Cricetulus griseus: one gene and its partner. The protein of the gene in region 2 interacts with the protein of the main gene of each other region in a pairwise test. Links are inferred from orthologs where the notes say so. Each region holds a gene or a part of one and is shown on either strand. Other genes may lie near its edges.

The links. The genes of interacting proteins can lie anywhere in the genome.
Region 1: the proteins of Stx5 (region 2) and Stx3 interact in binary tests that used the Homo sapiens proteins (3 or more experiments, as listed by UniProt). The link is inferred for Cricetulus griseus from reciprocal best matches to the Homo sapiens genes STX5 and STX3.

Annotation. Positions count from the first base shown.
Region 1 is NC_048596.1:48,783,507-48,788,280, reverse strand, and holds the start of Stx3 (syntaxin-3), read right to left. Parts: upstream 3,237-4,774; 5' UTR 3,087-3,236; coding exon 3,057-3,086; intron 1-3,056. UniProt on the Homo sapiens protein: Potentially involved in docking of synaptic vesicles at presynaptic active zones. Apical receptor involved in membrane fusion of apical vesicles.
Region 2 is NC_048596.1:51,348,255-51,352,256, reverse strand, and holds part of Stx5 (syntaxin-5), read left to right. Parts: intron 1-1,141; coding exon 1,142-1,258; intron 1,259-1,343; coding exon 1,344-1,400; intron 1,401-1,540; coding exon 1,541-1,622; intron 1,623-2,297; coding exon 2,298-2,404; intron 2,405-2,533; coding exon 2,534-2,655; intron 2,656-4,002. UniProt on the Homo sapiens protein: Mediates endoplasmic reticulum to Golgi transport.

The DNA.
Region 1 (4,774 bases), about 2.6 Mb from region 2:
ATCTTGTTAAAAAAAAAAAAAGTTGGTTCCTGGGATAAGGGACAAAGAGGGGTGGAAGAACCACAGAATGGTTGATAATGCACAGAAACCTTAACATCCTTCGCAGAAAACATTAATAAGGGCAGAAGCATCTTCTGAGACCAAGTGATTTTTGCTCTACAAAGAGAGCATCAAGAAGCTTGGAGGTGAAGGTACCTTTCCTAAATGGTCATGCTGTCAAAGTGTCTTCTAGATGTTTATGCTTATGCCCATAGATCAGGGCTGCTTTCAAACGTAATCAGGGAAGCTTCTTGGTGCAGTGGGCAGCAGTCAATACAGAGACTCCTAACTGGTCAGTGCTGGAAGTGGGGGGGGAGGGAGGGGGCAGCTGGGTGCTCAGCCCTAGCAGGGACATTTGTATCACCAGCATCCAGACTCAGGGGATACAGTGAAAGAGGCGGCAGAAAGTTTCTGAGCCAGGATGGGAAGAACTGCTATGAAATGCTATCTTCTGGACATGACATGACTGTAGCACTCATGAACCCACAGACTAGAATCTAGTCAGTCGGCATTCCATGACAGATGGGCGAGGGTTCATGAGGCTCCGGCCCTAGATGAGGAGCTATTGGCAGTTGATGGCTTCTAGGACAGAGGGAATCTTTTTTCTTCCTTCTGGACCTGGTAGCCTGCCCGTGTTCTCGTAGATGGCCCCATACTCATTTGCATGCATACTTATTAGACTCAGTGGTTATATAAGTTTTTTTTTTCCATTCATTTATTTAGCTCATAAATAAAGTCATGCACAATTATGATACATAATACAGTATGTTCACAATGGCATGGCTAAATTAAACCAATTAACATGTTATATCACACATATTCATCATTTTTGTTTTGAGAACACTTAAAGTATACTATCTCACAAGAGGGTATATAAGATTGTTAAAGAGGAAAATAAAAGAAAAAAAGAAGACATGAAGGTGCAAAGGGGGTAGTATTAGAGGCTACATGATGATAGTGGAGGGAGGATATGGGTCAAATATGATCAAGATACATTGTGGATGTGTATGAAACTGTCAATGAATAAATAGAGATAACCCAGAAGAAGCAAAAGCCGTGGCAGCGACACAAAGGTGAAGTTGCAAAAGGATCCCAGCTATTAAGCGCCAAGGCCTCAATTAGAGAAGTCTTTGAACCTCAACCCAGTCTTCTTGGCATTGCAGGGCTCCAAAAGGGCAGCAGCCTGCCTGTGGTTTGAGAACACTGCCATAATAACAGCATCATCCAGCATCTCACTTTCACTACATACCAGGGTAGCCCTGTTTTACAGTGGTTAGCCCCGAAGGACTGAAAGGCACAAGGATTTGCTCCGGTCCCCTGGAAAATGCCTTCTTTCTTGGAACTCAATGCTCACGTAAGACTGCTCTGTTGACAACCCAGCTACCGAAAAGAGCCAGGGAGTACCTGAGTCCAGAAACAGATCTCCTAACTAAAGGAAGGGAGCTGCCTGTGACTGCTGTTCGGCTTTGAACTCTTCAACAGGGAGCATCCCCCTCACCTCACTCCCCACCCCCACCCACCACCAGAGTGAGCTCCAGTTTCCCCACCTATAAAGCAGAGACAAGTAAATTTTGCACTTTAGTTAACCAGGATGCCCCGAGGCTCAAGCATAAAAGAGCAAATTGGGGCAGAAGCTCACTCCCACTACATAAGTGACTGCCCATTCCTTCTCTGGCTTCTAAGCCTACACTGCAGCCCAGTACCCAGAGCATATGACCAGTGTCAGGAAGACCTCACTCTAGCAAGGGAGGAGAAAGTAAAGCAATTACAATACCAACCCACTGGTCTCCAACATTTCTATTTTCAAAAGAAAAAAAAGCAGTCATTAGCATAACACTTACTACTTATTAAGTCCTAAATCATACAAAGGGCTCCCCTGTGGGCTTGCTTGCTTTTAGCTGATACAACTACTCATTTTACAAATGACAAAACTTAAGCTTGGAGTTTAAAGGGTAACCAGTAAGCAGCAGGGCCAGGCAGGACAAAGCCCCAGTGCTAATGCAGACTAATACTTCCCAACTCTAAGGAGCTCACTAATCACCTAGTTAGATTCAGTGAGACCTTCACCAGGTCTTGACAGGGGGTGAGGGGAGGGGCCTAAGCTGATGCACTTCTAGGGTGGCAGGTAGATAGGACTTCGAGTATCCAGGGCTGGGCTTTACATTCCATTAAGGGGCATCCTGTATCACTGGATGGGTCTCCAAAGTTTCACACTAGCCCAGTCCCGTAGAATGTACTCAATGACTTACTAATTGAATCTAGATCTCAAAAATTCATACTTCAGCACTTCCCTATATCAAGTCCCATTGTGTCATTCAGTCTTCCTAACAGACCTATAGGAGGTGATTCTCACTTGACAGACAAGGAAACAGACTGAAAAGAGTAAGCGACCTAAGCTTTTTAGCTGTTGTGCGGCAGAGACGACCACAGCTGTCTCAGGGGATGTAAGGAAAAAAAAAAATTAGAGACCACCGGATGGCAGGAAGGGAGCCCATCCCAGCACCTGACAAGCTCACAGCTCCAGAGGTCACCCGGAACTCTCAGCTACGCCGGGGATGAGGTAGCCCTGCCCGGTGCTCCAGGAGGGAAATAAGGAAGAGGAGAGGAGGCCGATTTGGGGCACAGTGCCAGGCGGCAGAAGGCAGCTGGTGAGGTTGAGTCCCCTGACTTCACCATAACATAAGCCCCACTGATTTCAATTACCGGGGTGGATCCAGCTATGGAGGAACCCTGTCCAGCTTGAGGGGGGAGGAAGGGGAGCAGGGATGAGAGGGTTACGGGCGTAGAGGGAAATCGCTGCTAGGTGATGAATCACCGAGCACATGACCCTGCAGGAGAGGGGAGGGTACAGAGCTCCGCGGGATGAGGCGGGGGCTTAAGGAGTGAGGCCTAGCTCGCAGAGCACCCCTGCGGCCTGGATGAGGGGCTAAGGGAAGCCCCCCTCCCGCGCCGCTCCTCCTGGCGGCGGATCTCCGCAGCCCCCAGGCGCTCCAGATCCCCAGGCGCAGCAAACTCACGGCCTTCAGCTGCTCCAGCCGGTCCTTCATCCTGGCCCAGGTGCGAGCGGCGGGCACCGCGTCCCAGGTGAGCGCGTCCCAGGTGAGCGGCAGCGGGTGCCGGCCGGGGCGAGGGAGCTGCTAGCGCAGGCGGAGGCGGGCGGCGGCCGCTCACGAGGAGGAGCGTCCGAGGCCACCGAGGTCCGCCGCGCCGCCCCCTCCGGCCCCCGCCGGCGCCGCGCTCCAAATCCGGCTCCCAGACCAGCGCCGGCTCTGCGCCCGCCCGCCCCTGGACCCGCCCCGTACCTGGGCCGCGCCCCGCGCTCCTGCTTAAAGGGCCCGCGCGCGATCCAACGTCACCGGCCCGGTGTGTCATAGCATCCACGGAAGCAGAAGCATTCGGGGTTCCCGGCCCCGCCCGCCGGGCAGAGAAAAGGAGAAGGGATCTGTCCGGCTTCGATTCCGTATTCTCTGTACTGCCCATGTTGTCCAACCCTTCGCGGACTAGTCCGGTTAAAGACAAGCTGGCTCCTGCTCCCTTTGATGGGGGGAAATGTTCCGATGATGCTCAAGAGATACTCTGCCTCAAAGAAAGGAGCTGCGAGGTACAGAACTGCAAAGTCCGGGCTCAGAGACCTGGAGATGAGACGCAGTGGGTTGGGCTGCGGCGAGGAATTTGGGGGAGTTATGCTGTTGGTGGCCACAGGGCCTCTTGGAGACGTGTAGGCGGTTCGGTCACCTTTTACTAACAATTTGAATAACTGTTAGGGAAGTCCTGTTCCTTTAGAGGATTCTGTTCCCATAGCCATAAATCAGAAACCACTTAGCAGTTTGCTGCGAAGCCTGTGAGAGAAAGAAGCAACTGACTTGTAACTGCAGGACAGGGTTGGTTTGGAAAACTTAAACTCCACCCATCCCCTTGCTGTAAAGAGGCTCCGGATTTGAAGAACTTTTTTAGAGAAGTGTGGTTCCTCTCACCATCCTTCCCTCTTCAACCGTGCCCCTACCCCCGTCTCCTCCCTGTCTGATTTTGGGCATATCAAGCGGGGTGGTGGTCAACAATTGGAGCCAGCGAAGACTGGGAAGGATCTTGCTCTTTGCGTTCAGTTTTAAAGGTCGTAGATACGTCAGTTCTAACCGAACTTTGCCCTCTGCGATGTGCACTCTCCTACTGATTTCCTCCGCTGCCATAAAGACCGTCAAGTAAGGCAGGGCTTGGGCTGTGTGGGCCAGCCCTGCAGTTCTCAACTCTAATCCCTTTTCTCGCGTCCTTCTGCCGCTGTGCCCCATGCGGACTGCGAGGGCTTTCACGCCCCCTGGCGGTCGTAAACCCTATGGCTGGGGTTGAACCTCCTGCCTGGCATACACCTGGAAAACATTCTACCACTGAGCTCCCTCTAGCACCAGTCCTTTTGTTTTCTTCTAACTTTCAGACAAACGCTCCCTAAATTGCCCAGGCAAGCTTTGAACTTGCCATTCTCCTGTTTTAATCTCTCCAGTAAAAGGGATTACAATGAAACACTCTTATTGAAGTGTAGACTTCTGAAGTCTGGGCAGAAGTGTAGCAGTAAGGAAGGAGGAAGGATTCATTTTGAAGCAAGAACCAAGGAGTCCTGTTAATACATAATTGCTTTCGGGCGGAGATGGCTCAGCGGGAAAGATCACTGACGGAAGGACCTAGATTCAATTCCCAGCATCCACATGACTCTCAACCTCCTGTAACTCCAGTTGCAGGGGAT
Region 2 (4,002 bases):
AATGCTTAAATTTTATCTTTGATCAATTTCTCATACTTTAAAGATTTTTCTTGGGGGGCGGAGTGTTGGGGGGGTGTTTTGAGACAGGGTTTCCCTGTGTAGCTTTGGAGTCTGCCCTGGAATTTGCTCTTGTAGACCAGGCTGGCCTCGAACTCACAGAGATCCACCTGCCTCTGCCTCCCAAGTGCTGCCACCACCGTCCAGCATACTTTAAAACTTTAAGTTATATTGTGGTTTTGGGTGGTGGTGCCTGAGTACCATGGCATGCATGTGGAGTTGGTTATCTCTTTCTCTTGTATGAGTCCCTGGGGTGGTTTTCAGGTTTCCAGGCTTGGCAACAAGCTCCTTTATCTGCTGAGCCATCTTCCTGGCTCTCATACTCCTATTCTTGATGCCTTGCATGTCCTCCTCTCTGATACCTCCCTGGGTCATAGTACACTGGGACAGGTTTTTTTCTGCCCTCATTGGGGAGAATGGGATGTAGGTGACACAATGGCTGTGATATGAAGTCACTGTATATGAGTTTGAATAAATCACAGCTAATCATTTGTAATATTAGACATTCTGTGCAAAAATTTGCTTCTTGCGGTTTCCTGCTTTTTTTTTTTTTTTTTTTTCAAGACAGGGTTTCTCTGTGTAGCTTTGGAGCCTGTCCTAGAACTGGCTTTGTAGACCCTGCTGGCCTTGGAACTCACAGAGATCCACCTGCCTCTGCCCCCTGAGTGCTGGGATTAAAGGTGTGCACCACCACTGCCTGGCCAATGTGTAGCCTAGGCTGGCCTCGAACTCGTGATCCTCCTGCCTCCACCTCCTTCAGAAAATCCTATCAGAATGCATCACCACAACGAGCCTTTTCCTGGGTTTTATTCAAGTAATCTGTCAGCATGTTCTAGGTACAAGATTTTGGCCTTTGAAGGGTTCTATGACCTCATAGGGTAAAGTATAGCAGAAAGGAAGAGGGCAGAGAAGTCATTCCTTTTTCTGCAAGGAATGACCAGAGTTTGGAGAGTCCTGTTGCCACCTGATCTGACTAGACACTTTACTAGTAGGGGTTATTTTGTCCTCCCTGCCAGAGATGGCACAGATAGGGTCAATGACTGAAGACTCCCTGCTTGATACTCTTCTTCTGGTCTTTTAACAGGACATCAATAGCCTCAACAAACAAATTGCTCAACTTCAAGATTTTGTGAGGGCCAAGGGCAGCCAGAGTGGCCGGCATCTGCAGACACATTCCAACACCATTGTAGTTTCATTGCAGGTGGGACCCTGGGGATGGAGGGAGTAAGGAAGGGGATAACAAAAAGTATCTTCTTTGAATGACCAAATTTCCTTGCTTTTTATAGTCAAAACTGGCTTCCATGTCCAATGACTTCAAATCAGTTTTAGAAGTGAGGACTGAGGTAAGTTGGATCTATAGGTGGGTAGGAATCTGTGATATGGACCAAGAGGAAAAGGGGAAGGGACAAGTTACCCAGAGTCATGGGGTCAACATACCCACTTTCCAGAGACTCAGGACCTTTGCATTTCCCCCCAACATCAGAACCTGAAACAACAGAGGAACCGTCGGGAACAGTTCTCCCGGACACCAGTGTCGGCCCTGCCCCTTGCCCCCAACCACCTTGGTAAGTCAGAGGCAATATGGGAAGCCTAGGAGCTAAGGTCTTCTGACTGCGCTGGTAGGTGTGGAGCAGGAGAATGGAAGAGCCAGGATGGTGCTAGGCATTATCTCAGAGGATAAACCTGGTTCTAAAGTTTCATGATCCACACTCACATATTCAGAAGAATGACAGTGTCTGACTTTTTGTGTAGTCAGTCACATTCTCTTAATTTTCTCATCCATCCTTAGAAAGCAACTATTGTTAGCTCCATTTTACAGATGAGGAAATTGAGATTCAGAGAGGTTAGTCTATCTAGAGCTGGATTTAAACCTAGTGCCAGTGAGTTTTGAATGTGTTTTGTTCGCTTTGTTTTTAGAGCTAGGGTTTCATGTAGCTTGGGCTAGCCTCTAGCTTGTCATTAGCTGAGGACTGACTGACCTGACCCTCCTACCTTAAAATCCCTATTGCTAGTATAACAGGTATATGCCACTGTGCACTGCTTGCATGGCATTTTGTTGTTGTGAGAATGGGTCTCAATTTGTAGTCTTGTCCTGGAACTCACTATGTAGATTAGCCTTATACTCAGAGATCCTTTTGCCTAAGCCCCAGGAATGCAGAGATTAAAGTCATGTGTCACCATGCCAGGCCCTGAACCTGCTTTTAATCATTAAAATGTGCCACGTCTTATTTCTTCCCTAGGGGGAGGACCCATAGTTTTGGGAGCAGAGTCCCGAGCCTCCAGGGATGTGGCCATCGACATGATGGATTCTAGAACAAGCCAGCAGCTTCAGCTCATTGACGAGCAGGTACCCAGGCTCTGAAATCAGGAGGATCAGTTCCTCTGTCTTCTGTGTTCCCCAGAGTGTTTGGAGTGTGTCATGGTGAAAAGATCTTAAAAACCCAGGCCCTAGTTCATGGTGCTCTCTCTTGTGAAGGATTCCTACATCCAGAGCCGGGCAGATACCATGCAGAACATCGAGTCTACAATCGTTGAGCTGGGCTCCATTTTTCAGCAGTTGGCACACATGGTGAAAGAACAGGAGGAAACTATTCAGAGGTAAGACACTCTCACCCATGTATTAGAACTTTCTCTTCTTCATGGATTAGCATCTTGAAGTTCCCAGGGGCAGCTTGGTGGTCTTTGAAGAATGAATGAATCCTTCCCTCCCATGAGTCCTAATTCACCTGCTTCTACTCATTCAGTAAGAGTTTTTTGAGGGCCTGATATGGTAGTGCCACCTTTAATCGAAGCAGGCGGATCTCTTGTTTGAGACTAGCCTAGTATACATAGTGAGTTCCATAGAGAGGGCTACATAGAGAGACCCTTTGGGGTGGGGGTGGGGGTGGGGGTGGGGGTGGGGCAGTTTTCTGTCTGCATATTTCCCTGCAGACCAGAAGGGGGCACCAGATCTCATTATAGATGGTTGTGAGCCACAATGTAGTTGCTGGGAATTGAACTCAGGACCTCTGGAAGACCAGCTAGTGTTCTTAACCAGTGAGAGCCATCTCTCCAGCCTGAGACCCCCCCCCCCTTTTTTTTCTTTTTTTTAGTAAAAGGTGGTGGCGGTGCACACCTTTAATCCCAGCACTCGGGAGGCAGAGGCAGACATATCTCTGTGAGTTCAAAGCCAGCCTGTTCTACAGAGCTAGTTCCAGGACAGCAAGGGCTGTTACACAGAGAAACCCTGCTTTGGAAAAACAAATAAACAAAAATAAATAAATAGAAAAGAAAAAAAAAAAAAAGACCGAGGGCCTGGAAATACAGCCTGGTTGTAGAGAGTTTGCCTACTATATATGAAGGCTTAGGATCAGTCTTCAGAATCATAGAAAAAGGGAAAGAAAGCAACTGGTGGAATCAGCTGGCTGGCTCAATGGATAAAGGAAGTTTCTGCATAAGTCTAGTGACAGGAGTTTGATCACTGCAATCAGAAAGGAGTGACCAATGCCACAGAGTTGTCTTCTTTCTGCTACATCTGTGCCTCTCCCTCCATAGTAATAAATAAAAGTGTTATAAAAACAAAACACAGCTGAGAAGGGAGCACAGTGTGCTGACCTTTCTTGAGCATTGTCTGAGCCCAGGAGTCCAAGGCCAGTTTTATAAGTGTAGTCAAGCACTATTTCAAAAACTAAAAGAGAAGGCTCAGCATTAAGTTAAGAGAACTTGTTCATTTTTCCAGAGGACCTGTGTTCAATTGCTAGTACCCACATGGTGTTTTACAGCCATCTTTAACTCTGGTTCTAGGGGATTCAGTGTCCTCTTTTGGCCTCCACAGATAACCTGTGCAAGTGATGTAAAACATGCAAAACACATTAACTAAGTTTTAAAAAAATGAATGAATCTAATTTTTAAAAAATTTAATAATTTTATGAGAAATGGATGTTGTGGCATATGCCTTTAATCCCA